Linked DNA regions of Kluyveromyces lactis. The protein of the gene in region 2 interacts with the protein of the main gene of each other region in a biochemical or structural test. Links are inferred from orthologs where the notes say so. Each region holds a gene or a part of one and is shown on either strand. Other genes may lie near its edges. The genes, in order: LSP1 and PKH1.

The links.
Region 1: the proteins of PKH1 (region 2) and LSP1 form a complex in vitro, tested with the Saccharomyces cerevisiae proteins (2 studies listed by BioGRID, with this or other methods). The link is inferred for Kluyveromyces lactis from reciprocal best matches to the Saccharomyces cerevisiae genes PKH2 and LSP1.

Annotation. Positions count from the first base shown.
Region 1 is NC_006041.1:1,268,879-1,284,787, reverse strand, and holds LSP1 (lipid-binding protein LSP1), read right to left. Parts: upstream 11,842-15,909; coding exon 10,885-11,841; downstream 1-10,884. Other genes in the region: KLLA0_E14477g (ferric reductase family protein), read left to right, coding at 847-2,997; KLLA0_E14433g (TauD/TfdA dioxygenase family protein), read left to right, coding at 9,138-10,286; ULA1 (Ula1p), read left to right, coding at 12,634-14,070; ATP-dependent RNA helicase SPB4, read right to left, coding at 14,097-15,887. UniProt on the Saccharomyces cerevisiae protein: Together with PIL1, main component of eisosomes, structures at the cell periphery underneath the plasma membrane that mark the site of endocytosis.
Region 2 is NC_006039.1:1,050,918-1,068,265, forward strand, and holds PKH1 (serine/threonine protein kinase PKH1), read left to right. Parts: upstream 1-9,249; coding exon 9,250-12,027; downstream 12,028-17,348. Other genes in the region: PUF6 (pumilio-family RNA binding domain-containing protein), read left to right, coding at 1-184; CORVET complex subunit VPS3, read left to right, coding at 395-3,013; mitochondrial 37S ribosomal protein mS46 RSM28, read right to left, coding at 3,102-4,115; TPT1 (tRNA 2'-phosphotransferase), read right to left, coding at 4,526-5,236; MZM1 (Mzm1p), read right to left, coding at 5,786-6,133; IZH1 (PAQR-type receptor), read right to left, coding at 6,510-7,457; KLLA0_C12463g (uncharacterized protein), read right to left, coding at 7,824-8,444; ARP9 (Arp9p), read right to left, coding at 12,176-13,510, 13,624-13,653; centromeric DNA-binding histone H3-like protein CSE4, read left to right, coding at 13,927-14,481; formin-binding protein HOF1, read right to left, coding at 14,676-16,499. UniProt on the Saccharomyces cerevisiae protein: Serine/threonine-protein kinase which is part sphingolipid-mediated signaling pathway that is required for the internalization step of endocytosis by regulating eisosome assembly and organization, and modulating the organization of the plasma membrane.

The DNA.
Region 1 (15,909 bases), on a different chromosome or scaffold from region 2:
GTCATAAGAGGAGAAATTTTGATATACCCTGACAATTTCATGTAAGTTATTAGTGACACCCAATTTTTCTGTTTCACTTTTTTTTGTGAAGCTATGATTTTTTTCCGTTCTACGTCGGCAACTACGAGTAATAACGTCGCATACGATACTTTGATTCAAGATGATGAAAGTCTAAATTGTTGATTTGTTTATACTTTCGAGGTATACTTAATGTAAAATGGCACCCTTTTTTTCTTGGCATTTATGACCCTTATCCCATTTTTTCCTACTAAAAACAAGCTCTAGCTATAAACAATATGCAGATCATGATGTATGAGCCTCAAGGTTCAATGGATGAAGGAGGAATTTTTCCACAAAATTTGAAGATTTTAGTAGTATTATGTTGAATCATAAAGCTTAAGTCGATGATTTCGTTGGTAACGCTTGGCACTGTTGTTACATTTGCGCATTTCACTGGATCGGTGGTAAGATCATTAAATGCTCGATTGCCAATTGCGGTTATACACTTGCGAGAGTCAAGCCCTTTCAGTGCAGCTAACTGATTTTAGCCTACGAGAGAATCAAACCGAGACAACACCGATAGACGAATAACACCCCGAATGATGTGAATCTTGGCCTTTAACGGAGCGATCCGCCCAGGTCGAGAAGCTCGATGGTCTTTGCTCTATTTATCGGTTGCCAGTTGCATGGATAGAATTGTATAAATACTCCATCATTGTTTCAACTGTTGCAGTCCAGTTATCAATATTCCAAGATTTGATCTATATGTATAGCTTTGTTATGTTCCTTTTCATTTCAGAGGGCGAAATATATAACCAGTGAAAGTTAAATCGAGTCGAGTACAAAATGCAAGTTCGCTGCCGAAATTCCCTGGTTGTGTTCTTCATATTTTTATCATCTTGGTGTCATGCAGCCAAATACACTTTCCTATCCAAGGAGGAGAGTGTGTACTGGGCATGCTTAGACGCATTGCAGGCATATACCTTCAACAACGATCTTGGTTCCCTTTACGCACCAAATTGTCAACCGACAAGAAACAGATTCCAGTCCTGGCTTATTTGCAACGTTGATAACCAGAAACCCGATCGTTTAGATAGTATGTTGGAGAAAATGATAAAAAGATGTCAGTATAGTAAGCCTGTATACAACCATACCGTCGAGAGCTTGCATGAACTGTATGCAAAAGTTAAATCAGAAGCTATTGACGTCGATAATACGCCAGGATTCAATGCATCCACAAATCTGACTTCTCCCATCATTGCGCCAAGAAGGAAAGTGAAGCGTTACACTAGAGCCTACGTGACCAGAGCACAATCGCAAAAGCATACCAGGCTTTATGGTGGTGCCATATTCATTTATTTTGCTGGATGTATGTTTATTGGAGGATTGGTTACTTGGTCTAGAATATTGTGTCCAAAACTTGTTGAAAAAATCGTTGGACCCAAGATAAACATGTTCAGAAGGTTGTTCACCATCCCACCGGCAAATACCAAACATACGCAAATCCTTAGATGGAAAAAGTTGATCTTAGGTATTATTCCTACAAGGGCAGAGACGTACATTTTGTTCGGTTATTTTGCTTTGAACGTGATTCTAAGTTGTATCAATTACGATATCTTTTCTGACAACTTCTACACCACTAGTAAACATCAGGTAGCCATGCAAACATCTAGCTTGGTTCAGTATAGAACAGGGGTGATGTCAACAATCCATACACCTGCTGTGTTCCTACTATCTGGTAGAAATAACCTATTGTTGTATTTAACTGGGTGGCCATACGAAACTTTCTTGGTGTATCATAAATGGATTGCAAGAGGGATGTGGGTTCATGCATTAATCCATTCTGCTTGTTGGACATACCTTGAAATGGACTATCTTGCTATGAGCTGGGAAGAGCAGTATTGGTATTGGGGTGCAATTGCAACAATCACTGGTGGCTTAATGTTATTCTTAGCGTCTGCATATTTCCGTATCAGATGGTATGAAACCTTCAAGACTATTCACTTTTTATTTTCTGCTTTGTACATCTCCGGGTTATGGTATCACTTAAGAATCTTTAGCGGCCAATGGATGGAATACGTGTATGCTTCCATTGCTGTTTGGTGTGCAGACCATTTTTTCAGAGTCTGCCGTTTACTATGGTTTGGAGTATTCAGCAAAGCAGATTGCGAATTGTTCGAGGAAGATAACACAATCAAAATCAAAGTTCCGAGACCAAAGACTTGGAAACCGTTCCCAGGTGCTTTTGTCTACATTTACTTCATGAGACCATACGGATTTTGGCAATCGCATCCATTCACCATCTTAGCTCATGACGACGACAGTGACGGGAAACACATTTACATATACGCCAAGGTAAAGGAAGGTCTCACCAAATCCTTAGCTAAGAGTCTAGCCAACACATCTAATAAAAGCCAATCGATCAACGTTTTAGTTGAAGGCCCTTACGGACTAGAAGCCCCATTGAAGAACTATTCCAATTCTATCATCATCACTGGTGGAAATGGTGTACCAACTGGATACTCCAATTACGATGCCTTAACGAAACCACTTTCTGAAAGTTCCACCGATACTGTTAAATGGATCTGGATCATTAGAGACACTTCGCCACTGGAATGGTTTAGAGAAGAGCTATTGAGACTCCAAGACCGGCTAGGTGAGATCAACATCTATATTACCCAGCCGACACAGCAAATCGTAGATTCTTCTGCGTCATCTGCTGGCGAAACAGACTCTGAAAAGAAACTCGACGTCAAAGAATCAACTCAAGATTGCGAAATCAATTTTTTCAAGCAATTTTCCAGAATAAACTTCTTATTCGGTAGACCAGACTTACAATCCTTAATTGTGGAAGATCTTCACAACGCTATTGGTTCTACAGCAATTTTGAGTTGCGGTCCAGGACCAATGAACGATCAAATCAGAGATACAGTGGCAAACAACTTAGATGTTTCCAAATACAGAGTTGACTATTTCGAAGAGGCTCAAGTATGGTGAAAAACACTGTCCTTTTTTTTTTTTTAAGTTCTTAACACTCAGTGACCAATATATACTCTTCCTCCGAGCTCATTGTTGTTGCTGCCTTAATTTATCACGTAAGCTAAACCGTGTATTTATTATTATTATTATTATTATTGTAATTTGTCGAAAATGTATTTATCAGCCGTGAACTAGACATATACACACTACACCTGATTCTCAACTTCCGGCCGAAGCAGCCAAGGTTGTCTTTGCCTGTTGCCTTTTTGCCTTATCCTTGTTCTTTTTTGTTTTCACACTAGTGGTTGATTGTTAGTATCACGTGACTCACCGCCATACTACCGACATTCTCAAAAGAAAACACCCAATAACGATTCGCATGTATCTATAATCTCGCACTGCTGTGACTGAGATTGGGGGAGATCGTTAGCCGAGCCCCAAGCCCAAGTAATAATATGACTAAGTGTTCAATAACATGGCACAGAAACAATACTACTACGGTAATCCGCCAAGACCTGTATTTCCGACAATGTAAATGAAAGCTTTAACTGTATTTCATTCTTTTCACTTCACCAAAATAGAGCTTTTCCTTGGCAACCTACGGTTACTATGCTTGTTCGTACGGCTGGTTCTACATAGAAGAGAAAAAGAAAATTTCACGGGACATGGATTACAACTCAAAATCTTGCTTTGTGCCAATTTTGTTAGATCAAGATATCACCCATTGCACCTGGTTTAGATCTTATGCGAACCGCATTTGAAACCAAAACTTGGGAGGATGAACCGCATGCATCCGATGGCTTCTTGGCTCTTAGAAACAAAATTGGGTCGACTCCTACTCTGTTATCTGAGTGGTTATAAGAAAACAGGCTCGAAACCTTTAGTGAAACAGATTTTTTTTTTTTTCTTAGGGTAAGGAATCGGAAGAGCTGCCATTCTCTAGTGTTTATTATTGCTGCTAGCCATGTCAGTTCTGTTCTATATCTCATCTCATCGCTTCAGCACTTTAAAGAAACAAATTTGACACCCAAGTTTTTGATATTTTTCACAATACTTTTCTTTCTCCCCTTGGATTTAGTCTGTGTGAAGAACGTTGTAATTCTCTTACACATGACAAGTCTTATTCTGATCTTCGATCTTCGTATTGTATATAATGGTTGCATAGAATTCATTTTCATTGGGAATCTCTGTCCTCTTTTTTCCGGGGATGGTATATTATGTATATTAATCTTACTGAGGTAAACAGGAACAGGCATTAACACACAATGTCGGTTGCTGAAGAAAGCAGTATTACTGTGAAGGATGAAAACATCAATAAAGGCTTCAACAACGATGAAAAAGAGGTTGCAGTAGATGAGAGCTTGACGCCTGAAAAGCTTAATGATTTCGGGAATGTCGATAAGTTGTTGGCTACCAAGTCTCTTGTCATTCGTAAGGCTGAAATCATGGCCAGGCAGTATGATACGTGGTTCTACCAGACTATATTCTTATTGTCCGCCTTTATTTGTTCGTATGGTTATTCTTTGGACAGTAGTATCAGAGATATTTATATGACTTATGCAGCAAATGATTATGATACGCATTCTCTTTTAACTACCATTGGTATTGTGAACATGATGATTTCAGCAGTTGCACAACTTTTCTTTGCTGGTTTGTCCGACGTGTTTGGTAGATTGAGTTTAATGATCGTTGCCATTGTGTTTTACGTTGTTGGTACCGTGATTCAATCGCAAGCGTATGATATTCAGAAATATTGCGCCGGGTCCGTTTTCTATAACGTGGGACTTGTTGGTGTAATGCTTCAAGTTACTTTGTTCTTGTCCGATAACTCTTCGTTGAGATGGAGAGTGTTGTACAACTTTGTTCCTGCTTGGCCAGCTATCATTAACATGTGGGTTTCCGGTAACATCGTCGAGGTAGCCAACCCATTGGAAAATTGGTCTTGGAACATTGCAATGTGGGCATTCATCTTCCCCTTAAGTTGTATCCCATTAATCGTTTGTGTACTTCATATGAGGTAGAAGGCAAGCAAGACTCCAGAGTGGATGGAATTGAAACAAGAAAAGACTTTCTATCAAACCCATGGTCTCATTCAAACTTTGGTCCAATTGTTTTGGAAACTTGATATCATTGGTTTACTCTTGTTAACAGCATCTATGGGTTGCATCCTTGTTCCATTGACAATTGCTGGTGGTATTGAGAACGAATGGAAAACTGGTAAGATCATCGGACCGTTAGTTCTTGGGGTTTTCCTTGTTCCTGTCACCATTTACTGGGAAAGTCAATGGGCTAAGGCTCCATTTGCTCCATTCAAGTTGTTGAAGGACCGTGGTATTTGGGCTCCAATGTGGATGATGTTCTTGGTCTGTTTCGTTTATGTAATGGCAGCTGGTTACCTTTACACAATTCTTTTGGTCGGTATGAATCAAACTGATCTTTCTGCAACAAGAATTATGAACTTGTACAGTTTCGTCGCGGGTATCTACTCTCCAGTCTTTGGTTTCATGGTTGCTAGAACTAGAAGACTAAAGCTTTACATGATCTTTGGAGCCTGCTTGTATTTCGTCGTCATGGGTCTGTTTTTCCGTTACAGAGGTGGTATTGGCTCTGCTGCTGGTGTCATTGGTGCCATGGTTGTCTGGGGCGTTGCAAGCTGTATGTACGATTACCCAGTCACAACGGCTCAGTCCGTCACTTCCCACGAACATATGGCTACCGTTACCGCATTGTTGATGACCATTTTTAGTATTGGTGGTGCTGTTGGCTCTTCCGTTTCTGGTGCTATCTGGACCAATTTGCTGTACCCACGTTTGCTAAAGAATTTGGGAGGAGACGCGGATCTAGCCGCTGTTGCCTACGATTCCCCATTGGATTTCATTCTGGATTATGAATGGGGTACTCCAATTAGGGCCGCTATGGTTGAAGCTTACGAACACGTCCAAAGGTACGAAGTTCTTGTTGGTTTAGTCTTCTGTGTGCCCATGCTGATCTTGACTTTCTGTATTAGAGACCCGAAATTAGTCAATGAATTTGGCCAACAATTGAATGAAGGTGAATGTGTCGAAACTGAGGGTGAGGATCCAATCTCAGAATGGATCTCTTCTCGTATTAAGAAATTGAGGCGTAGACATTGATAACTTAGAAAGGAATTGATGTCCAGTCTTTTTTTGTTTCTCTTTTTATGTTTATACTTCCCTTCGTTTTTTGTATCTATAAACTTCTAATTTATGTGTCCTATGTAGACCGCTTCATCATTCCCATGAAGAACTTTTCTCTAATTCCTTATTTTTATTTACACTCCATTGGGGTATTGAGTCGTTCTGTTGAGTCAATTCACTGAACTCAAAACAGTATGATTGGTAGTAAACAAGAGACTAGAAAAGAACAGAGAAAGGTAAAAAAAAATCCATCGAGAATTCAATAGATCATAGACTCACCTGAACCCCATATTTATATTGATATTTCACAGTAGACACAAAACAAAAGCCCTATTGACTTTCAAGCTTTCGGTCCATCCTAAGCCTATTAAGATGACCAGTGATGAGAATTATGCACCCAACCCGCTATTTATTGTCTGCGTTTTTGGAACATAATTGTGGGAATCTGTTATTTTCAGTCACCTTCCTTGACGGGTTTTTAATGTGCCTGAATGCTATGTTTCTCATCACAACTGGTTTGAAAGAAGTTTCAGAATAGTTTTCTGCAAGGTTTTCTGCGTCGGCAAAAATATGCAAGTTGGTGCAGATAAGTTGGATCAAAACCAAGCAGTTGTAAATAAAAGAAAAGAAGCGCAAGAAATAACGTCTATTTCATCTTTCATATTCGAGGCCTGCCGCACGGATGCATAGATGTCGAATCATCGGCATTATTCATTTTGAGCGAAAGAATTTACATACATATCTACAGGTTTCAATGTTTTATACGGACACATAATGCTTTCAAAAAATACATATGAGATAGATATCGTATTTTACCAACTATTGATCATTCGCAGTATAGCTTTATGGATATTCTATCATAACACTTGCTAAGCCATCAATACCGATTAGTGAACAAATAAGTGGCTTCATATCTCATTATTAAAATTTACCGAATGTCAGTTTTATGTCTTTTTCCGTCTATTGATAGTTTGATAATTTAACAGACATATGTAGCTTCTCTGTTTTGAAATAAACAAAGATAGACTACCCAGTACATTCTGTCTCATTTATCACAGTAGTGACTTTTTCGGACGACCTATGACGCGAAATACAATTTGATTCTTTTTTAGTTTTTGCAGCCGCTTTCTCGCCAATTACAGCCAAAACGATTGCAGCACCACCTTAACTGTGTTGACAGCCAACTTTGAACACTCGAAGGAAGCTCAGCATGTAACTTATGCTGTAAGCCATAATTTCAAAACCCAGCTACTAGCTCAGTATTCGCTTTTACGGATCATCAAATGCTAATGTCAGAGGTGGCTTATGATACAAACCTCTAGTTCCATATCCTCAATTCCCAAAAACGTTCACCGTATAAATCTGTCTGTTCTTTGATGCAGCATTGAGTTACGATATAGCACAGTACACATTGTTAATGGTTAATTCACGTGATATTAGCTGCCCTGAGTATTAACCAACTATTTGACAAATGTCAGATATTTAATAGAATATCTAACTAAACTAATTCAAAGCTTTGAGAATTCATTTCAGTAGTTAAATGTGTAATCCCTAAGGATATGGGCTTTTTGGAAGTGATCTTTTTAAGTCCGGGGGGCAAATTGCTGAAACAGTACCTTACCCTTATGTTACAGGCCAGTGTATACTATACGATTAGATTGAAATTACTGATAGGGTAATGCCAATGAGAACTACAGAATTCATACTCGTATAGAGCTTGTATAAATCAGATCAGTTATATTCCAGAACCAATGGGTTAAGTGAGAACATAATTTGATATATAATTCAACTTACAATTCTGTTGTATGCGGATTTGAGAAGAATCCTATTGGGGCTCTCCAAGCAAATTATCGATCATGAGCCATTTTCAGTGACATCAGAAAGCTTGAAGTTAACCTGTTAATACCACGCTTAAAAGTCTCAAACAGACATCCAATATGTTGTTATAAGCTGCGCGAGTGGTGTGCACTCTGTTTTTCTATACATCGATTTTCTTTTGAAATACGTAAAATTTAAAGCATAAAACAATAATATTTGCCCATATCAAACCATCTACTCTAAACAGCTAGATTTTGTGTGAATAAGGAAATAATGTCTAGTACCCAGACAGAAGCCATAAGTGATTCACCCATATGAACAAAGTGTTAACACACGGAAATGACATGGAAAATGTTTTCGTAAATGTATCTACACTTATCACCAAAGTTCTGTTAACGGCTCAATCGCACATTAACATTGATGAATAGGTATACGTTCGTACTTGAGGTTTCACAGTAAAAATCATAGTCCATATAACGGAACAAATTAGACTTCGTCTGACTATCAGCCAAACCCTGTAAAAACACCCACTAGTACATTGTTATGCATGTCCTTTCGCTGTTGCTGTGAATAACACGTGACTCAAAAATCGATATCCTGCATCACTATTGGAACTTTAACTCCAGTTCACCAGGTTATGGTAGCCAGGTTCAGAAGAAGGCTAGGAAGTTCTTTGTGTGGCCACAAGTGATAGAATCTGGAGATATAGAGAAATTGTCGTGTCTTTTCCTATCTTTCAGTAAAGACATTGATATTTCAAATCAACAAACTATTCCTAAGTCATTGACGGGTGAAAAAAAGTCGTAGAGGAAAAACGATCGAGCTCTGACATTGTTTTCTCACTGTATTTGATGAATTATAACGTGATATTATCTTAAGTGTATTGGTCGCATTTTCAGCCCTTTATGCCGAATGCACGTCTGAACGGCTGACGTTAGTCATTATTAGACTTTCCGTGACTTAGGATGACTCCGTCCGCATAAATTCCGGTCGAGAGGAGAGCGAGCCTTTATTCGTATCATACATCAGGAACGTTCATAAGTGTACTTGTTGCACTACATGACATCAAAATGATATGTATATAAGAAGATGGGATTGAGCTTCTTTTTCTGGGCACCGTTTCTTCACATCAGTAAAAAGACGAAAGATCAATACTGAAGGTCAATACAACTACAGAACACGATGCCTGTATCAACCTTAGAAAGTTGGAGAGCCAACAAAGGAATTATCACCGCCGAATTGAACGCTGACGATGACGGTGTCGTTAGAACATCCGCTAAGGAAAAAAAACAAGCTAAATACAAAGATTATCTACCAAGCTGGGATCCTAATGAGAAATTCCCTCCACATTCTTTCGTTAAGTATGAGGATCCTGCATTGAAAGCTAATCCAAAGTTTCCCCATTTGTTGACAAGTGGTGTTGAAATCAGTCCTATTACTCCAAAACTGGGGTCTGAAATTAGGGGCCTTCAACTTAGTGAGTTGGATAATGCTGGCAAGGATGAGCTAGCTCTTTTGACTGCTGAAAGAGGTGTTCTTATTTTTAGAGATCAAGACTTTGTCGATAGAGGTCCTGGATACATTGAAGAGTATGGGAAGTATTTTGGTGAATTGCACGTTCATCACGCTTCCCCAGCTCCAGAGGGTCATCCTTATATTCATGTGGTTTACAAAAATGTGAAAACAGAAGACTATGACAAATTTTTCGAACAAACTTTGACCTCTGTGTATTTCCACACAGACATCACATTTGAATTACAGCCATCCGGTTATACCTTTTTTGCAGTGCTTGATGCTCCTCAATCTGGCGGTGATACCTTGTTTGGTGATGCGATTGAAATCTTTGATAGATTGTCGCCATCCTTGCAAGAATATTTGAGTGGATTACATGCCGTTCACGCGTTACCACCAAACGGCGATGCCTTTTCTCCTGATCCTACCAAGCGCATTTCAAGACATGAAATCTATGACGTTATCCATCCTGTGGTAAGAGTCCATCCAGTTTTGAAGAAGAAAGTCCTTAACATCAACAAAGTGTTCACCAGAAAAATTGTCGAACTAAAGAAACCTGAATCAGATGCTCTTCTAGCATTTTTGTATCAGGTTATCGATAATGCTCATGATGCTCAAGTTAGGGCTAATTGGAAGCCGGGCACTGTAGTTGTATGGGATAATCGTAGATTGTATCATGCTGGTGTATATGATTTCGATGCTTCTGAATCTACAAGACACCATGTCCGTGTGACTCCATTGGCAGAAAGACCAGTCGAGGATTTGAAATATTTGAATGACCCAAATTATTACCCAATTGGTTCAAAACCTGGTAAATGAAGCTCCTTCAATTTTTTCATGCTATGTAAATTGTTTTAACTTAACTTATTAAGACTTTAACTGACTGCTTCTTTTAAAATGAATATACTTATGTTTCTAAAAAGGATACTTGAATCAATTATCACGTTGTTCCGTATCTTATCCTTGCTAGCTCGAACTTTCCACTAAATCCAAAGACTTTTCGAGTGTTATTTCCTGTGATTTATTGGCCGTTTTTATTCATACCTAGAGAAGCCAGCAGGAAAATTCAAAACAGATTGATCGATATTACGACCGAATTCCAATGGCTGTTATTAACTCAGCACGATATTAGAAGTTAGTGTTACTTAAAAGAGATATAGAAATGTTTTATTACATAGAATATGAGAGTAGCAATGGTATAACGGACTTCACATACTACCGTTTTACCTGTCACACAGTAACATTGCGAGCTCTCTGGAAAAATTCATTTTTAAAAGTTAAAGAGGGCACGTACACGGCAGGAACGAGTATTTGATTCTACAATAAATCATTCCAATATACGCTAGCCACATACATTTTTAAAGAAGTGAGTGTAGCGGCATTGGTAAAATAAACTAACGCATGTGATCGCGAGAGCTTATTTAACTTCAGTAGTCTCAACAGCTTCTTCTTCTTGGCCACCTTCATGTTCACCAGCCCACTCTTCTTCAGCAGCTAAGGCTTCACCTTCCTCGCCATCTTCATCGACGTAAACATCATCGACTGTTTGGTGGAAGGACAAAGTTGGCTTGATAGCAGCGACATCCAAGGTCCAGGATTCCAAAGCTGATTCGGCATCCATGATGATTTGTCTTGAAGCTTCGTAACCATCGTAAGCGGCTCTAGCTTCTCCAGGAGTCACTGGAGAATCGTCCAATAGTTCTAGTAAGGCCTTACCGTAACCAGCGATTAATGCGAATTTCTCAGCTAATTCTCTCACAGAGTCGAATTGATAATTGAAAGCAGCCTTTAATCTTTCTCTGGTAATGTTAGACAATTGGGCTTCAGCAACCAACGATTCGGCTTCAGCACGAACCAATTCTTGCTCCAAAACTGGGATCTTGGTGGATTGAGGGTCCTTGTACTTCAAGTGAGCAATCTCATCAGTAATCTTTTGCTTACGGTCTCTTGATGGTTGCACAGAAGCTTCAATGTTTCTGATAGATTTCAAAGTAATTCTGTATTGGTCATACTTGTCAATGAATTGGTCTTGCAATTCAGCCAGTTCATAGATAAGAACGCCTAGCTTGTCAGTCACGTCAGACACGTCATCGTCATTTTCAGAACCCCATAGAGACAATTGTTTAGCAGCAACACGACGTTCACTAGCAACAACTTCTAAAGCTCTCAAGTAACCCTTTTCGGTCTTAATTAAAGAGGATAGCTTTCTAGATAACAATGGGCCGAACTGACCAGCAGTATTCTTTCTGATACTGGAGGCAAAAGAACCCTTACCAAAAAACTTAGACTTGGTAGTAGATTGTGGTGGAGCTGGAGTTTGGAGCTCTGAAGCTGTAGGAGCCTTCTTATTTCTCAAAGAGTAAGTTCTGTGCATTTTTGGAGACTAGTATCGGTATTTAATTTAACTTCTTGATATCGAATATTTTCTGTTTCCCCTATTTCTTAATCTAAAAGCAGCACTAGAAGAGTAAATTGGCCCAAAAAAAATTTCGATTCAACTAGATTAAACTATGTATCGAAGTTTACTTGATATACCTGCGTAAGACCCCTAAAATTAATCCGTCAGAAAACAAGACAGGTAGAAAGATAATCAATTACTTTATATAGAGGAAAGTTATATGTAGATAGCAAAAAAGGTTCTGTCCCAGGCCAAGAAACTCTGATTATTTTTTTACTGCCTATTGCCCTTTTCAGTTATTCCCAAATAAAAAAAAAAAATGCATAGAAAGAGAAAGAGAAACAGAACATGACCCACACTTACTTTCTCTAGGGACATTGACATGGCATGAGCCACGCAATTTTTCTCTTCTTTGCAAATTGCGGGCACGGTTCTCTATGTTGGTTTCTTCAGAAACTTTTGTTCGACTCTTCTTTTCGGCTTATCATTCGAGACTGGAAAGAATCGTATGTAGGTGGATGATATTATAGTACTTCCTGCTTCCGCTTTGTCTGGTGATGGTGGTGTTGGTTTATGATATAGCCGTAGCAAAAACAGGGCCAGGAAATGACGAACTAACAGTGTATTGCCGGCCTTATGTTGGCTCTTTAGAGTCTCTTATGAAGTTTTAGGGTAATGCTGAAGTACTCGTCCGGGTAACGGTATGCAGTTGATCTAGCTTGAACTTTGGTAATCCAACTGATTCGCTTGAACTTTTAAGCTCATCTCATGATAAATACGTCATTTGATTCCAATCAAGGCGGGCTCTCTTGCATTAGAACTAGTGTTAAAGATCAAGGACCAAGGGCGTTGGTACAGGTTATGGCTGATCAGATAAATGGTGGTTTGGATGACCGTTATGATCGACAGTTGATGATCTGGGGCCATTCAGGCCAGGATTTACTTTCTCAGTCTCATGTGTGCGTTGTAGACGATAATCAGACATTGTTGATGCGAGAATGTGTCAAGAGTTTGGCTCTCATGGGTATTCATGAGATTACTGTAGTTTTTGGCTCGTCTAATGGATCAGATTTTGTGAACAAGTCAAACTCGGATATTTTAGGTTTTGATGCGTTAGAAAGTATGAATCCAGATGTTACGTTCCATATTTGGAACGAGAATGCAGTTCCAATTGATTCACAACATAAGTTATGGAACTCTTTCTCTATTGTCATATGTTTGTGCACGGCTGGTCCGTTGTTACAACGTGTCATGAAACTCTCAGCAGTTCCTCTGATAATGGCATCCACCAACGATAACTTGGGATTTGTTCGTCTTATAGGCAGTGAACCTCATTGTGTCATTGATTCTCATGGACATTTCACTTTCGATTTAAGACTCAATCGTATGTGGCCTGAACTAGCAGAATATCACGAATCATTCGATGTAAAAAATATGTCACAGGAAGAGGTATCCTCCTTGCCTTATTCCGTTCTACTGTACAATGTGGGAAAATCATTAAAGTCAAAGAATATTCCTATCAATAGAAAATCAGTGAGGGCAGAGTTCATCGAACTTCACGATTCTATACTCTCTGGACCCTTGACCAATGATTTGAACTTTGTGGAAGCAGAGAGGTCCTCATTCCTGTTATACGATCAATCAGGACCATTTCCTCACAATTTGACCAACATCTTGAATAGTTTTCATGCTGAACCTAATTCTACAATTAATCGATGGGTATACCAATTTGTACGATGCATCAGAATATTTTACGATTTGAGAGGCGATTTACCTGTGTCCGCATTCATTCCAGATATGGAATCCTCAACTAAACTATTCAACGCGCAGAAAGCAGTATATCAACGTAAAGCTGCCAAGGATAAATCAGAAATCATGCGCATTCTAGCAAAGGAGAATTATAGTTTGATACCTGAACCACTCATAGATAAAATGCTCGAGAACTTAAAACATTTGGATGCAATTAAAATGGGTAGCCTCTCATCGGCAACTAGAACTATAAGTGAAAAACCGAAGTTCAATAAGTTGCTATCGCTACAAAACGATAGACATGATACAACGTTTGTCAGCCCTGCGATGGCATCAATTCTTGGTGCAATGGTATCACAAGAATGCGTGAAATTATTGACACATCAATATGTACCGGTTGAAAACACATTGTTATATGACGGGGACTCGAATGAAACAAGCACATTTATATTATAATAGATTTATCTACGATATGTAATTGACTATAAATCATCGAAACTTCCTTGCATGGAGTTATGCTTCTTTTTCTTGTTTTGTCTTACAAGGTCTTTCCAGTCTTGCTCAACTTCATCTTCTGATTCCTCATCGCCCCGCAGAAGTTTCTCTTCAATTGCCTTCCTCTTGATGGCCATAGCTGCTCTTCTTTCAGCTTTGGCTTCTTTAGTTAGTGTCTTATCGGACCATGCCATGTTCTTCTTCTTTAGCTCACTTTTCAGTTTCTTTTTATCGCTTATTTGCTTGAGGTTTTGTAATTCTTGTAACCTCGCCTTCTCCTTTTGTTTATCTAAGTAAGCAAATGTGTCTAAATTCACTGGTGGTGATACCAACCAACCTTCCTCCGGAATTTGGTCGGCAGCATACCTGGTTATTTCGGGCATACGTGGCAGACGTAACAACCCGTAAAAGTTCGCAACGCCGATGAAATCCATGGAGTGGAATCTGAAGATCGATGATGCAGTATGCTTTGAGTAGTATTTTATAAATGCAACGTATGCTCTTACGCTGTGATCGAATCTTGCTCTATCGTGTAAAATCCAATCGTGGAATATTTTGGTTAGATTCTCTACGCCTTTCAGTTCCACAGATTCTTCTTCTAGTTTGACGTTTTTCACTTCCAGGAATGGTACGTAATCTTCTTCTCTACCTTCATTTAAAAACACAAGTGCCTTACCAATCCTATTAGCCCTACCTGTTCTACCACATCTGTGAATGAATATATCTGCATCTGTTGGTGGATCAAGTTGGATAACTAGATCAACATCTGGTATGTCTATCCCTCTAGCAGCAACATCTGTGGTGAATAGTACGGCATCGGTCAAGTTAGAAGTGAAACTGTCAAGCGTCTTCATTCTCGATTGCGTCTGTAGCTTTCCGTGTAGTGAGAAGAGTTTTAGATCATCCTGAATCAAATTAAGCTCTTTCAAATGGTTTATGAATGCGTAAAAATATGTGACCGAGATACATGTCGGGAAGTAAACTATGCATTTCTTGAATCTGTAGTTGTTGAGTAGAGTCAACAATAGTTGTAATTTATCCTTAGGTGGAATGACGATATAGTTTATCGAAAGAGATGAAGGTGCGCTCGAGTTAGACTTCACAGCAACTTTCACTGGATTTCTCATACCTGTTTTGAAGATTTGCGCACCCGCACTTTCGATTGTTGCCGAAAACAACCCTGTTCTTCTTTGCTTCGGCAACATCTTTAAAATGGTTTCTACATCTTTCTGGAAATTCAAATCCAATAACTTATCAGCTTCATCTAACACGACGGTACCACAGGAAGCAGTCTTTACATTAGTCTTCTGCAAAAAATCTAGGACTCTCCCAGGAGTACCAACTAGTATTTGGGGTCTGTTATCTGTAAAACTATTGATATCGTCTCGAACACTAGCGCTACTTGTTCCGACGAGTAATTGCGACCGTATTGGGTACAGATTATCTGGATAATACTTCAGAAAGTCTTCTATCACATCATGAATCTGACTGGCTAATTCCCTGGTTGGTGAAATGATTAACGAATGGAAATGTGATTTCTTGAATTTGGCCGAATTGGCTTCTTCTTTTATCAACCTTTCTAAAATTGGAATCACGAACGCTATAGTCTTACCAGATCCTGTAACAGATTCTACCACGACATCCTTGTTACCAGAGAACAACGGAATAGTTGAGGCTTGAACTGGCGTCATGGTCTCAAACCCCATCGATTCTATAGCCGTTCTAATCCATGGTTGTATCTCGCATTTCAAATCGTCCCACGATAACGACTTCGACATTTTGTATCAGTTCGAAACTTTA
Region 2 (17,348 bases):
CAACCTACTCGATTGGATCAACAAACCCAACAGTTCTTTTACCATTGTGGCATTGTATGAAGCCTTACATGGGACTGAAGAAGGGGAACAATTCGATCATGATTTGAAAAAAGTGATCAAGAAAATAGAGACGAACGATTCAAACAAGGGTGCTCAACTACTTCTAAAGCTAATGAAGCATTGAGTATGTATAGTCAAGTCGTTATATAGTTTGGCTCTAAAATATGTATATTAAAGATGATATAGCTTCTCATCATTGTGGACGAAGGACGTTCTAGTCTACTATTAAGATTCACACTTCCTTAAATGAGACTATCATCTGCGAACCAGAGATAATACAGCTAAGAACATTTATTCCTCAATTCACTAATTACAGCAGTGGCATTGATGGCTTATGAATGACGATACTAAAGAGAAACCCATTTCAACTGCCTTTGAAGTAACCGATGGATTATATGCTGTTTCACCATTAATCGAGAATGTGCCTCATGAATATGAGTACTCATGTATCGAATATTATGGTCAGCACATCTACCTGGGCTCGACTTCAGGAGCGTTACTACACTATTATGAATTAGATGTTGGAAATTTCACACTGATCTCGGAAGTCAACTTCAATGAAGACAGACCAACAGGAATTGATGGCATAACGCTACTGCCGAAAATTGATAGAGCCTTAGTGTTGTCCGAAGGGAGACTCAAAATGTTTCTCCTGCCTGAATTTGCACCTGCTTCAAATATACCAAGTATTATGAATATAACAGAACTTTCACTTTTGGAGTTCTGTGAGAAAACACAATGTTACTCGTGTTTCTTATACACGAAGAACTTGGTAAAGCGAGTAAGCATAACAAGCAAAGAGATAAAAGTCGAACAGAAGTATAACATCAAGAGAATTAGAAAGGCCATTCCTTCAAAAGACGCAAAACTCCTTATGGCAGCTGTTGATAACTCTTACTCGATAATCCATCTTGAAAATGAGCTGGTAACTCCTTTATTCAAAGTGTCTGAGACAGATGATGAGGAACTCTCACCAATTGTGACAAATTTTGGAAAAAGTGAATATATCGTCACATGTGGAATATCAAATGACCAAAACTGTATGGGACTTATATTAAACGATGATGGAGAAATCACTCACGGTACCGTGGTTATAGAAAATTATCCACTCACAGTTATAGTTGATAATCTGTATGTGCTATCAGAATTACATGGTTCTAAATGCCTTCAAATTCATTTAATAAAAGAAAACAACGACCCAGTAGTTATACAAAATGTTAGAAATCAAACCCCGTTTCATATTACAAAGTTGCAGACTCCTTTCATAACGAGACAGTTTAATAAAGAATTAATTGAAAAACTAAGATATGTCCCTTTAATTGCAGAAGAACTCCAATTTCGAGAAGAACAAGAAAAAGCATATGTGGCCAGACAAATTGCGGTTGAATGCCACATGATTATCTACGGAAAATGTGGTATATATTCTTTATGCCGAAAGCCATTTCTACTCACCATTTCGAGCTATGGCGAAGATACTCTTCCAATTTTGAAGTCTTTCATCACTGAAGAGTCACAAAGCAATTACCAGCTTCTTCAAAAAAGCTACTTGCAGTTCCTTTATGTCTTGCTGTTAACATTACATATGGAACACATTGATAAAGATTTAATCGATGCCTGGCTCAAATATATTGATGTTGCAGATATCAGAGTATTAATTTACCTACTTGGTTTCGACATTTACGGAGATTTGTGGATTCCTAATGGGTTATTAGCATTTTCAAAAAAATTGCATTCATTGAAGCTAGTTCACAAGTGTAATGACGTTCTGAACATCATACAATACTTGAAATTTCAACTAAAAGAAACGTGTTCCGATAGCTTAAAAGATAGTGCGAACGTTTATTTATCGCTCGATTTAATTCTATTACGTGATAACATCGCTAAAGGCAGTTCAAATGTTGATGAATACGAGGCGACTAGTTACCAAGAAATTGCTAAAGAGCTTTCTAAGCATAAAAAAGAACATTCAGAAACTTTAATAGCCATATATGAAAAGACAAAAGAAGTGACCCCATTGCTCGAAATACTAAGACAAACAGATCAAAAAAGGCTCATAAATTACCTGAATACTCATTTCCAAGAGCTACCCGATACTTACTCTAAAGAAATGCTGACTGATGATATTTCATCAGCTTTGAAAGATTATAACGATGACACTGTAAGCGACGTTTTACAATTAATAAACAATTTAAACTTAGATGTGAAAAGACTCATCTCATCCATCGAAGACCCTGATACAAAGGTTCTCTTGCTTGAAAAACTGGGTGCGAGTTCCACCCAAGATTTGACATTTCTTTACGAGTACTATAAAGCTAAACTTACTGTTTTGAACAGCAAGCTAATAGAAAGTTCCAATTTACCAATTACGGAGTACATTACCAACATGACATATAACAAGTCTCCTTTCAAAGAGTATTTGAAAAATAAGCTGGGTGAGAAAAAGGAATATGAGGGTTGCTTCGATGTAGGGACCAAGCTTCTGAAAATAGAAAAGGCTTTAAATATAAAAGAAGGTTCTATTATTGATGATATCGATGCTTCTTTCGTTCTACGAATCATGATCACAGATATCAGTGTATTAAAGGAAAAGATCGGGTTCGAAAAACTACTTGATATATATTTATCACGGAATGATTTTGCTACGGTGGAGTCCTTGTTACAAGCCAACGATAAGGTAGTGCTGAAAGTTATCGATCACTATCTAAGTCTCAACAATACTAGGGTCATTAGTCAATTCCTTAACAAGAATACGTGTTGTATAAACGACTCTGGGCTACTTATAGAAATTTTGGAAAAAATACCCCCAACCATTCAAATATCAGTGTTATCGGGTTTCCTATTTCCGTTACTCAGACGAAAAGACGAATCAACATATAATCTACAGATTAAGAAAGGAATTTTAAGGCATCGTACTCAGAATATAAACAATATCGAACGTTGTTTAGAACTGTGAAATAGTGTGATATATCATTAAGTGCATTGTGAAAATATATACATGAAAAATAGAGGTTAATCTTGTCTATAGGCGATCTGGCTTGTAATCAAGCTGTCAATTCAGAGACTGGTGCCAAACCGGAACAGACTTTTTGCAAAAGTTCTTTTTCAGTTGAAGCCAAGTTGCTTTGTTCTAAACTCTTTCTCACAATTTCGCTATTTTGCAGAAGTTGCTCTCTTTTGTCTTCTGCTTTTGTTAGTTTGGCAAAGTCCTTCTTTGTGTATGGCTTGAGAATGTGGAAACTACCCTTGACGGATTGCTCAAGTTTTTCTAGATCCGGAGAAATTTGGATGTTTTTTGTCAACGGTTCCACCTGCAATTTCAAAATGGAAGCTGGCACGTATTCACCAAAGTTGTCTTTGTTCGCTGTCATACGCTTACTGACGTTCTTTCCATTAATTGTGACACCATCATTCAATGAACGATGCACAGGGAAGTCGGCGTCTTTTAGTGTTGAAACTGCATATCTGAATGTCCTTGCACTGAAAGTTGGAGCCAGAGCAGGTCTGTATCTTAGCAACGATAACGGTGTTGGATCTTGTGGAACATATACAGCCGAGTTGTGAATATTTTGCACAACGTTTTCCGATCCCAAATTACTGGAAATTTTCAACCCTGGAACGGTTTTACGAGTTTTCCTTTCATCGCTTCTACGATTCTGTCTGGTACCCAAATTTTGAACTTTGCCTGAAATCTCACTATACTCATTAGTACCGGTAATCTTTGGTGTCTGTCTTTTAGCCGTACCTGTTTGTACTACCGGGCCATTGGTTCCTCTAGTATCCGTTCTTTGTGTTCTTTCTCTAAAATTTTTACCACCACGGTCTTGACCATTACGGACTTGTCTATTATCCCTGGGTTTATTTCCTCCGGATCTGTCATCAAATCTTGCTGTTTGTCTCTTATCTTCCCTCCCAGCTGACCTCACCTTTCTGTCAGATCTTGGTTTACGTGGTTCTCTTGCCTTGATAGGAACTTCCTTCACTCTTTGCAAAACTGATGCTAAAAAGTCCGGAGAGACAGAGCTATAAGCCCTTTTAGAGAATGTAGAAGCTAGCATTATTAAGTAAATATATTAATGCTAGTCACACACTTAAACAGATCACAACTTGATATAGCGTTACCTGGTTTATTACAACCCTATACCTAAATATCTCCGTGATACCATAAGAACTAATCAAGTTCATCATACTGAAACGAGTTTCGCACTCTCATAGGTTTTATGAAAGATCAAAAATTTTCAAGGCGTTCAAAATGATAAAAACACACGTGATCTAAATTTCTTATGATGACAGAAGGAATACAACATTCGGTGGGTTCTGACGTTTTGATATGAACTTAATACAACGGCGAGTACATACAGCGATATGCCTCGTCTAAAAATTGATGTTGTCAGTGGAAAGTCTAAAACAAGTCAATTAATTATTAAGAGGTGATATATATATGTATAGATAAAGCGATCAAGTCGTTTCAGATAATCTCGATTGGAACTTTCATCTCTGTAGCCAACTTTTTTAGCTGTTGAAGTTGTTCACTAGATGCTGCAGATCTGCCTTTCCGTACTTGGATGAAATCAATAAATTTCAACGGTATGTCCTGAGAAGTTAGGTAAACATTATTTAATGATTTCACAAGGTTGAGGCTGTCTAGCATTTCCTGGATCCTTTTGATATGGATGTAAACGTTACTAGAACTTCTCATTCCACTGATGACATCCGTATCTTTTCCAGTAATGCCGGGAGACAAATGAACATGGTTCCGTGACATTTTTTTGATGAAACCTGAGTGAAGAATTGAAATGCAGTTTGATACGTTGGTGCCATGAACCAATTTACTTGATAGTTGTTCTATGTTGGTAATTGGTTTTAAAACGTGTTGCGATGGAGCAATTTGCTTCAATGTATGTCCTTGTGTTGCACAGACGTACATTATCCCTGTATTCGGATCAGTTTTGATATGAAATCGTTGCTTGTCATTACTAGCAACAATATGCTGTATTTCTGTTGACGTTGCTTTCAAGCTTTTGAGTCTGTTATGCTGCAGTATTCTATCCAATGCAATGTAACCATCAGAATCTATAGGCAAGTTTTCCTTCACAGCACCATGTCTCAGCAAATAAGCCAATGCTTTCGAAATTTTCACACTTCTGTCCTTAGGTTCCTGCGAATGCGAGGTGTTCATAATGGTTCAGTTAAATCGAGCTTAGCACTTTCTGTTTTCCCCAATAGCTTTGACCATGTCGTTCTCTATCGGTCATACATAACTAATGGAATGAAATATATATGACAACGAAAAAATAATTGGATGGAACCTAATATGAGTCAGATGACACACACGAACGTATATATAGATGTAAACTTAGGAATTACAATGTGCACTGTAGGCACCGTACGTAAACGCCTTGAAGTTGCATAGTAAAAATGATAAAATAGAGTTTGATTAAATAATAGAGACCGTTGACCAACATAATTCGTTATGTACATGATAAAGTTCCCATATTTGGTTCACGAAACCTGACGGGGAAGGAAAAGAAAAAGAAGATGTAAATTAATGATTGTGTATAAGCAAAATACTGTAACAGAATGCGCCATATCAGGGACTGCAAAACGCATCTGGGGTCAAAGACACCAGAGTTAGTAGTCGAGTAATAGAGTCCCTTCAGAAAGGACGAAATCAGGGGAAAGACAGGTCATCAATCTGCCTCATAATTTGCTATTCTGTTCCAGCTGCCTATTTGTACAAGCCAGCACCACCACCACAACAACCGCCACCTTGGGCCGCCAGTGTCTTTTTAGTAGTCTTGATAGTTTCGTTGTCACCCAATTCAGTGTCCTTATGGATGTTCAAGTGATATTTGTCATCCTTAGTCCTCTTACCTTGAACGACATTTTGTCTTAGAAACTGTGCAACATCGTTCATAAGCTTGATCTGTTGATCAGGTGGAAGCTCTGGATTTGGTGGATTGACCATGCTTTCTCTCATCTGTTGTCTTGCTGCCATTAGCATGCGCAAGTCTCCTTTAAAAGCAACGCGGGCGGCTCTCAACCCGTTTCTGTAAGCTCCGAGCGCTTGAGACATCTCGTGTTTAATATATAAGGATCTAGGTGACTTAGTTTGAAGCTTTACTATACGGTTTTCTTTGTCTTATGAGACTCTTCTCTGTCTAGTTATCACAGTTGATATTCGCCATTCTCATTTATATATATATTTTTTTTTGTTCATATTGAAGAAAAAAGAAAACTGCATAATATAGTAAACTGTCGCCAGAGAATGTTACAAACGACGGAACCAACAATCAGCCGAGTGTAGCAACATCTGCGGTACTTGATGGATTGTCCCATTAAGGTTACTTTCTAATGCTTGCGCGTGTGTCTGTATTTATGTATGAGTTCATGTGTAAATTTCTTGTAAGAAGAATGGTAAGATATATGAGATAAAGTATTGGCATATCTCTTCATCTTATGAAGACAAAGCTCGAGTGATGCATACCAGTATGCATGAAAACATAAGATCCGAGGATGGCTCTGAAATGACAGATGGAGCCTAAAACCACCATTATATGAAATATTTGATGTGAGTGTCCGACGAAATCAAATTTCCCAGGCGCTAACACTTCTGGGAACCTGAACCCGTAAATCACTGCACCGGCAATATAGAACATCGCTTCTAACAAAACATACTTCAATTGAACTCTGCGAATGGCCTCATATGCACCAAATTTCCAAAACCCAGTAACAATTGGAACTATCCCACTCAAACCGAATGTCACGTAAAACATTGCTCTGAAGGGTCTAAAAGTCTTTGAGTTAAATTTGTCGTGTAGTGCAAACACAGTGCAGATAGTTCCCAGAATAACGGTGAATACGGTGAAACATTTGAAATGGAAAATGTGGTCGTGGAATCCATAGTATAACAATGAGATAATGGAACACGTAATCATAATAATGATTCCCATGTAGTCCACTTTAGACCAGATATGACAATGCGATTCGGAGTGCTGCTTTAAGCAATGGAAAAAGCTGCTGCATCCTAAGCACAGCACCGAACCCAATAGGAAGAAATGGATCATAACACTTTGCATCATAGTAGAGTTTGGAAATTGAGGGACGAGAAACATATCTGCTAATCCAACAAGGAGCACCAAATACGTAATAGTCGGGACCAAATGAGAGTAAATGTTTATCGATTCATTATGGAATAAGAATAACGATTTGACACATTCCTTTACACTTTTAGTTTCACGGATATACCCTGTAATAATCTTATCATTGTCTTGTTGCCATTCAGGAAGTTCACTATATCTGTATAACCTTTTTATCGTGCTTGAAATTGCAACAGGAGTTAACTGCTCTAATTTTTCAGAAATAGATCTCCTGTGTCTGATAGTCGTAGTAGCACTCATACTTGTCTTCACACAATTAATATATCACTGGTTGTTGGCAGCACTATGTATACATAAACTTCCCGCAACCTTAGAGTCTTTGTTTTTACTGAAGAATAATAAAATTGTCTCAAATCCAGCTCATCTCATCTCATGATATTTATTTAAGGTGCGAAAACTTCATTTTTCAACAGTTTTCATTTTATTAACCGTTAAGTTTCTTAAAAAATGCATATAAATACGTACTACCGAGAGGGCATTATACGAAAATCCTAACAGTAGTAACCACTAATCCTACTCTTGATAATCACCTTCACGACTATGATCCTTTTTTTTTTTCACACTCAAAGTTTTCTTGTACCTGAGTCTATTGATGTGTCTATGAATTTATATTAGTTCAAGTAATCTCAACACATTTGTTGAGCCCTTGCACTTTCGATTGTACAGCAAAGATTGATTCTTATGATCATCTCCATTTTTACAACCGGTTGGTTGAAGTACTTTCGTAGTAGTTAGTTTCATGGAACGATTCTGCCTTGTAGATACTTCACTGCTTTTATAACTATTTGCAAAAGTCTCGTTTTTATGTCCCTTTATCTTGTGCCAAAATCTTTTGAATTTGGTCCTCCGATGATTAAAATTGTCATTCAGAGAATCGTCACTATTGTGATAATATTTCTTAAAATCTCTGTATTTGTAAGTAGATGACTGCTTGTAGTCATCCAAGAGATTACCTCTACAAGGAGGGACCTTCCACGCCATTGATGAGATATCCGGAGTCAATGGTGAAATTGGTGAATTTATAGGACTGGATTTATACCTGTTCACCTTTAACAAGGAATCGAGTACAAAACTATCCGTGCACCATTCCTTTAAGTTATCAGGTGAAAGGTCTTTGAACCCCTGTGATTTGCTCCATTTCTTCAATTTGCTCTTGAATTTGATCCCATGGACGTATGCCTCTAAATCTGGCAACATGAAGACATTGTAAGAGGTTGCGTGTGCCATTTTTTTATGAGTATTTGGAGACTGTATATGATGATATTCAATTGGAACTGGCAAGAATAACAAAAGATTTCTGTCTTGTAATTATTTATAATAGTATATTTCTTATGTTATGCTCGATGGATCCCAGAGATAATGTCATTTATAAATGCTTGACATGCAAGTATATTCAATGACACATATGACGAACAATAACATCATCGTTAATTACTTTGTGTTCGGAAAGTAACTTGCTCGACGATCCTAGCGCTAGGTGTCGACATTCTCTGCATCTAGACGACAAGAAGCGAAAACAAACATCCACTTGTGCTTCACATGACAGTTGAAGCTCCACACATGACGAGAGTTTACGGATATACGTCCGTATTGAGACGCAAATATATATCACGTGACCACTAGATGTTACTTTAATAAATATGAACATTTGGAATTTACTTAACATTAACATTCAAAGCAAGAGAAAATACGTGGAGAAGAAGAGAGGAAAGAAAGAACGACAATCAAGTCTAGAAGCAATTGTGATAGATATACCCATTAGTGAATAAGGTATTGAGTTGCTAGGAATATTAAAATCCCCTGATTTTTGAATCGTCCTTTTTTTTGTCTGGCTTGTCTTCTTTTAGCAATTGAAGTTCTTCATATTTTAAGGTTTGATGGTTGAAGCATCTCCTTTTTTTGCATTGTAAACATACCCTTAAGCGAATATCAACTAACAGCGTTTTGGTATCAAATATTTCTTTGTTCAATATCGAAATTTGTTGCTTTGCATTTGTACTGATAAAAATACCATTCTAAGAGTTTCATCAATATGTCTTCTGAAGATTCTTTTAACAAACCCATTATACCTACGTCAGGATCTGCCAGATCTGTTATGCATAGACCAACGCCACCTCCAATTCCGATGGAACTATCACATCCTCCTCTACCCACTATCAGAACGACAGATGATTTATCTAACCTCTCAGAAATGAAGCCATTTGGGAAGCCGAATCCTCCTGTTTTAACTAAAGCATTAACAGACGTTGACAATTTTATCTCTTTGGATCCGAAGTATTTGAACAGAAGAAACGACTCTCTGTCTTCAGTCGAAACAATTGATTCCACGCGAGATGATAACATTTCAATACCTAAGGAATTACCCATTAGCGAATCAATGCAGCGTAGGCAGAAGGAATGGGCAGATCGTGGTGCTGCAATGATAGTGAAGGATGTTCCGGATAAGCAAACAGGGAAAATCACAAAGCAAGTCATCAAAAAGGGGATTAATGATTTCAAATTTGGAGAAACGTTAGGTGATGGATCTTATTCAACAGTGCTGCTTGCAACTTCAATTGAAAGTAATAAAAAATATGCGGTCAAAATTTTGAATAAAGAATACCTCATCAAACAGAAAAAGGTAAAATACGTTAATATTGAAAAGAATACCTTGCAGAGGTTGAAGAATACCAAAGGAATCATCTCTTTATATTTTACCTTCCAGGATGAATCCTCTCTATACTTTTTGTTGGAATATGCACCAAATGGCGATTTATTATCTCTTATGAGAAAGCATGGTTCAGTCAATGAAAAATGTACACAGTACTATGCAGCACAAATAATCGATGCATTAGGTTTCATGCATGACAAGGGAGTTATACATAGAGACTTGAAACCAGAAAATATCTTGTTAGACGTTGATATGAAAGTCAAGTTAACTGATTTTGGTACTGCAAGGCTTCTAGATAGTACTTCGGAGGATGACCTTAAGTACGATCTGTTGACAAGATCTAACTCCTTTGTTGGCACAGCAGAATATGTATCACCAGAATTGTTGAATGATAACTACGTTGATTTTAGGTGTGACATTTGGGCATTTGGTTGCATTCTTTTCCAAATGATAGCCGGGAAACCGCCATTTAAGGCGAACAATGAATATTTGACATTCCAGAAGGTAATGAAAGTTCAATTTGCTTTTACCGCTGGCTTCCCAATGACTGTGAGAGATTTGGTGAAAAATATTCTAATTAAAAACCCAGAAAGAAGATTGCTGATCAATCAAATTAAAGCTCACCAGTTTTTCGCCGATGTAAACTTCGGTAACGGCTCAGTTTGGGATAAAGACCCCCCAGAACTTGGTCCATACAAGGTTTCCGCCCGTGCTTTGCAATCCTCGGTACCGAAGGTGGCCTCGTCTCCGGCTATTAATCCAATTCATGAACCTGTTCGACAAAGCTCAGTATCACCGAAGATAACCCCTAAAAACACGACAACAGCACAAAGGCCAAATGGTGACACGACATCCACCACAACAAAACGTGAGTTAGACCCTAGAACACAGCGGATTTTGAATAATGTTAAAAAAGAAATTTCTCAGCGGAACCACAGACGGGCTGCCCTTAAACCATCACAACAATACTCCGGCTCTCCAAGCCAAGGTGATATCACTCCTAATCCTGCAACAGCAGCAGCAGCAGCTCTTCAGCAAATTAAGCAACCATTAAATGAAACGACAGCAAAATCTTCAACTTCTTCTGCGGGTTCTGGAAGAAGTCAAAGGAAACCTAGTGGCTCCAACCGCAGTGCAAGTACAAATTCATCATCATCCAAGTCTGCTCCTCCTTCATCGTCTTCTAATATCAGAAAAATATCGTCCGATTTATCTCCAATGAGTAAATTAGATATAATGTGGTCGTACTACTTAAAAAATATACAAGAACGTGTGATAAAGATGGGGGAGATCAATGTTACCACGCTCAAAAACCAAAGTCTTGAAGCGAAGATTAGCAAGTCAAAGCTCTCCCTCTTAGATGCAGACGGAAGGGTGCAGAAAAAAAATACTCTACTGACTCAAGTTGTTAGAGGAGGCGGAAATGTAACTGGCTTTCGTCAAGAGAACTCAAACTTGGTTGAGCATGACTTTTATAGTGAGTATCTGATTGATCCTGAAAATGTTGAAGCGAGCTATCGTAAGCAATCTGGCGCAGATGAGGCTTCGCATGAGGGTATGTCAAAATTGAAACATTTCTTTTCAAAGGCACCTGATGCACCTGCAGAATTTATCGCACAATCAGAATATATTAAAAGAATGTGTGTAATAACGACATTCGGAAGGTGCCTTTTATTTGCTAGAAAAAACAAAATTAATCAAAATTCAAACCTTTTCTATGATCTAGAATATGAGATAGATTTGTCACAGTTAGGTGTTCGCATAAAGGAGGTTGTACCAGAGAAGAAGACAAGTTCGAAAGATATCTTCGTTGTACAGACGCCATTCAAAACATTTGTATTTCAAACGGACGAATCAGATACCCTGGTATGGTTGCATTCCCTAACTTCAGCGATTAAAAGCAAAAATGAAAGATTCACTAATAATGAAACATCAATCAATCCCATTGCTAACAAAGCGGCATTACTAGCTGAGCAGGAAGCCGAAACACAACTTAATGGGTATAAAACTACAAAAACTCCTTTCCTCACTAAAAGAAGGTCCAGTTTTACCTCACAGAGACAAAAACAAAACAATAACGGGAAGCTGGGTACAAGACCAATATCAAGTGGATCTAGAATGCTTTCCCGGAGCGAGCAAATCTTTAGAACAAACAAATGATCAAAATTCTAGTAAGAGTCATAGCTCAATGCTCTAGAGAAGTTTGATGGGCACTTTCTAAATGTACGGTACTCTGAACTGCATTTGCTGATTGAAATTACAATGGATATCTGTATACGTTTATATATTGAAAAAGTACTAGAATTATTTAGAAAGAAACCTCCCAGATGGCCTCTGGGCCTAGTTCGTCATACTTCTCCCTTGTGACATAGAATGAATTGTTAGAATGCCCAAACACTTGCTTTGTTAAGATCTGGGCGCCTAAGAAGGTAATATCAGCGAAACCAATCTTCTTCCATTCCGAGAAATATTCAGGGAACTTTGGTGTCATGATGGTAGTTGGTGGCTGCACATATTCAATCTGATTTAAGATTGGAGCAGTGGAAACCTTCCCAATTTTCTTCTGTTTAGAATCTAATTTAGCCGCAGCATCCACCTCTCTTTTATACAGTTCCTCTTCTGGTTCACTAACTATATGGTCTTTTAGCAGCTGTGATAGAAGAGCTTCCCTGAACCCTTTTATATGTGATGTCCCTCCAACAATAATGACATTTTCCCACATTGCTTTAAGCTTGGTTATGTCATCAATCTGGCTCATTGCTTGTCCTACAGCTTTCGAGACATCCTTCAACAGATCTTCATAGCCTGTGAATCTCTGCCTGCTTACAGTAATACGATTACCATCAGTATCAAAGAAGTCATTTGTCTCTAATTTGCTGTTGTCCAGTTTTTCTTTGTTTTTGTTTCGTTCGCGCTCTTCTAGAATTTCTCGAGTATCACGCCCACTAGTAACAATTGTAGCCACATCTAAAGTACCTTCTTCGTCATCTTCGTTGTCGATAGCGTATTGATCCATGATATCTTGGGACAAAATTTCGTATATATCCGACCTTTTTAAATCCTCAATTTGGGACTCGGTGAGATTTGGTAAAGCTCTCTGTAGATTCTTATTTATCGAGTTTCCACCGGAAGTAATCTGTCTTATGAAGCAGGTTAAGGGTGTATAGTCCATAATTGGTACAACATCGGTGTGAAACTTGCCAATATCGATGATCAAACAATTTTGCAAAGAGCCATAGGCAAATGAATTAGCTAACGAGCTAGGTAATATAACAAAATGCTTCAATTTCATTGCTTCAAAAGCTGTTCTGCAAAGTAGTTCTTGTTGGAATTGAGTCCAAGAGTAATGCGAAATTAACAAAAATGGAATATTAGAAAGAGCTGTATCCCAAGCGATTGGACTATCGTCACTCTCCTGTTTTAACACAGATTTATAGATCAACTTTAGAAAATATTGGAACGCATCAATATCGACAATGCTTCCCTTCACAATGGGACAGATAACAACATCAGTAACAGAGGATGTAAAGTTACCATTTGCATCTCTGTAAACTTTTGTTGGAATAGAAATCGAAGGCGGCTGCAAAGTATCTTCTCCAATACCAAATTGAACCAAAGTCCTATTGGATCCTGGATATATTATCTGGACAAAAGTACCACATGTAGTAATGTGAGTGGATCGGTTAGTAAAGTTATCTTAGTAGTTTAAATAACTAATGTTTTCGGAATAATGAACAATCTGGATACCGCACATACGAAGTAACTGTCTTGTCTTAATGGTGCCATTTTTGCTAAATGGTTTCTAACAATACAACAAAGTGCTCGATTTATCGTAACAATACGAGTTACAGTTGCTAGGTCAATGACGAGACTTTTCCTATCCAAGTAGCTAATTCAAAGTATAAACTTGTTTATCTTCTATTACTTTTTGAATTTTTCAAATAATGAAAACAGTTATCTAGCTAACATTAGCCTACTCAATGATGAATATGACACGCGAAACATTGAAATTAGTTCTATGACACGCAAAAGACCATACGGAAAAGAGATTGATACATAATGGAACAGTCTATCAGGAGCATAGACGGTTCTAGATCTTTGAGCAATGTTGGCGCTTCACTTATAGATCGTGAATCGATCAATCAGAGAGCACTACAATTATTACAGAGAAACAGAAGAAGACGTTTGTTGTTAAATAGAAGTGAAGACAAAGCAAGATACATCCAGCCCGAGCGTTCTGCTAGCAGCCAGCAGATTCACCCTCCAGAGCATCATATCAGCGCACATGAAAGAATAACAAAGGCTCGGGGAACTAGATATAAACCTACTGACCTAGCTTTGGCAGAAATAAGGAAATATCAAAGATCCACAGATTTGCTTATATCCAGAATGCCCTTTGCGAGGCTAGTGAAAGAGGTAACAGATCAATTCACTACCGAGAGCGAACCTCTTCGATGGCAATCCATGGCAATTATGGCTCTTCAAGAAGCAAGTGAAGCCTACTTAGTCGGTTTATTAGAGCATACAAATCTATTGGCACTTCATGCTAAAAGAATTACAATTATGAGAAAGGACATGCAACTAGCTAGAAGGATACGAGGTCAATTTATTTGAAGCAATCCTTCCTATCATTTAAAGTACAGATTTATCTGCTCAGCTTCAATTTGCTAATAGTTTGATGTCTATTGGAAGAGCAGAAATTATATATAAGTATAGAACTTTATATTGGTTACATATGGTTACAAATTCATTATTTAACGGGTGAAAATGGTCAGAAAGGAAAGCGTCCAAGGTGAAAGTGATGTACATCAATTTATTACTTTCACGTAATTCATTGGTACCAGACCATGCTGTTTGTTACCTTGATATACCTCACCCACATACCAGTCATCATTTATGCATTCGACTAACAGCAGGATATCACCAGAATTGAAAAGTAGTATGTTATTTTCATTGGGTTCAGTGTACGAATACATCGCTTTGACATATTTTACGACTGGATTTTTCATGGAATCAACGATGGGTAGATTCAATTGTTCACCATCAATAGTCACACGTTTACAACGCATTATATTCAAAGAGTTGCTGAAAGGCAACACTGTTCTGCTCACAGTTAAGTTGCTAGAAGCACCAGAGCTCGTTCTTGATGTCATCGGACGATCATTCATTTCCAAGATTTCTAATGCTGTTTCGACATCCGATGCGATGGATTTTCTACGATTTGCAGTTGGTGGCTTCAGAGAGTTGTTATTGTCGTTGTCAGAAGTATCCGTATCCATTGTGGGCGAATACATTGATGAAGGTCTAGATTTTCTTCTATTGCGTGAATTCCAAGATTTAGCAAACCTTTGAGAGTCATCGACACTTGAGGCCATGGATGAGAGAGAAGTCGACATGGAATCATAACTTGCCTTATTTTTCCTATGAGTAAAGTCCGTTGGATTTGAAGAAGTCTCTTCTGAAGATTCTGATAATGTTGCTCCATGTCCTGGCTTTGTAACCACTTCTAAATAGTTTTCAACGGAATGCGGAGCAGAGTTATCATTTAGGACCTTCGATTCTATGGAATTAACAAGGGCAGCATCAGTTTTTGGAGTTGGCAACCCTTTATCGACACTTAATGCATTTATTGAATTGAGCCTGGTGTTCTTCAGCTGGGTTGATAGTCTTTTTATATTTTGAACATACCTATCATTCTTTGTTAAATCCAACGCCTTGTGAGAACTCTTCGGACGGATCACATTAGATGGGTTAGAGTTAGCACTTGAGTTGTGCGTTGAAACTGAGTTAGAGTTTTTCAACTTGATTCTTCCAGTACCATGGTGGTAAGAAAAGTGCGATATTTCAAGTTCAGGTGTGAAGCTGGAAAGTTTTTGTTTTAATTGTTCCATCAAAGAGAGTTCCAGTTCCGAAGGCTGGGTTGTAAAATCAGCGTATTGTTGTAGTAATTCCCTAGAGACCTGGATTCTTTGTGTTTCTAAACTTTGCAATTCTCCACTAATATGTCTCCATTCCTCAAACCAATGTGCTCTAGCAGCTTTACATTCATGATGTAAGACGGTTTTCCTACGGTGTGATTCTTCCACTATCGAAGACCATTTTTCCAATTCTCTCGCATTTTCTTTCCTTTGGTATTCGCCCAAGGCAGTTTCTTTGTTGAGCTGATACTCTCTCAGTTTATTCTCAGCACTGAGTAATTCTTGATCTATAGATTTCAAGGCTTTCTTCTTTTCATCTTTCAACTTCCTTAAGTTTTCCACGTTTCCCGTTATCGTTGACCATCTGGCTCTATATTGCTTTAAGAAATCACTCATCGTACCGACATTTTCCCTGTTGAGCCTCTCATATGCCTTAGAATGACCATTGGCTATTGTCTGCTGGGAGGATTGGAAATATTTTAAGGATTCAGACATATTATTGTAGTCCGCATATCGTTCGAGATTGTTCATTATTCTTGCACTGAGTGCTCCTAATCTTCTTGCATAATCCATCTCCAACTCACTTCTCTTAGTGAAACAATCGAGCAATAACTCACAGGTGCATATACCTCTTCCAACATGCTGAAGAAGAACGGTAACACCTTGATCGTCTTCGTCCCAGAAACTTTCTTGATAGTTGTATATTTGAGTCATTCAATCGATAGCTTTCCTTGCTAATACCTACTCTTTGTTATGCCCTCAACTTCCCTTCAATTGTAGATTGTTGAATGACAAAACAGATACCGTACATCTAACTTCAATCCTTGTGAATTGTTAACATACACCGAACAAAGTTTGGTGAGAGAGCCAGAACCATCCATCTCTACAACTGAATACAATCACTGTGATAGTGCTGTTCGATGATGTTTACATTATTCCTGATTGGGGAATAAGTTCAATCACGTGACTTATATTTTTGTTTGTTTATTGCAAAGCAAGTAATAATACCAAAAAGGGAAATTATGCTTAATTCTGTACCTCTATCATTTTTGTCTGTACCGGCCGTACAAGAACATGAAAAGAGAAAGCGAGGATAAATAGGAGAGCCTAAAATCCCCATAATCTCTGACGATTACCCTGGTATATGGACAGCACCGTCTAATGACTTGAGAGTCCAATTAAATTCCTGAATTAACCCATCGCAAAACTCTCTATGTCTCCTTTGTGATATGCTTTAGCTCCGCACGGGATTGCAATGAAATAATTAGCAAAAACGTCGTGAGTATTTTCTTCCTGCTAAGAACCATCAAAGAAGGTTCACAGAAAACAACGTACAAACTGTATATCAGGGTAACCAGCCGAGTTTTCCCCTGTTTTCATTACGACATTGTTCCCAAATTGAGACTATTTCTCTGCAACACAGTACATACAATGATACAATTCGTAATAGCAATCGTCCCCTTAAAAACGGCAAACAAAGATGACAACCAAGGCACCAGCTCAACAGCAAGGGTTCCAACTACACTGAGGGTATAAGTTTCTGCGGTACCTCAGCTTGGTTCC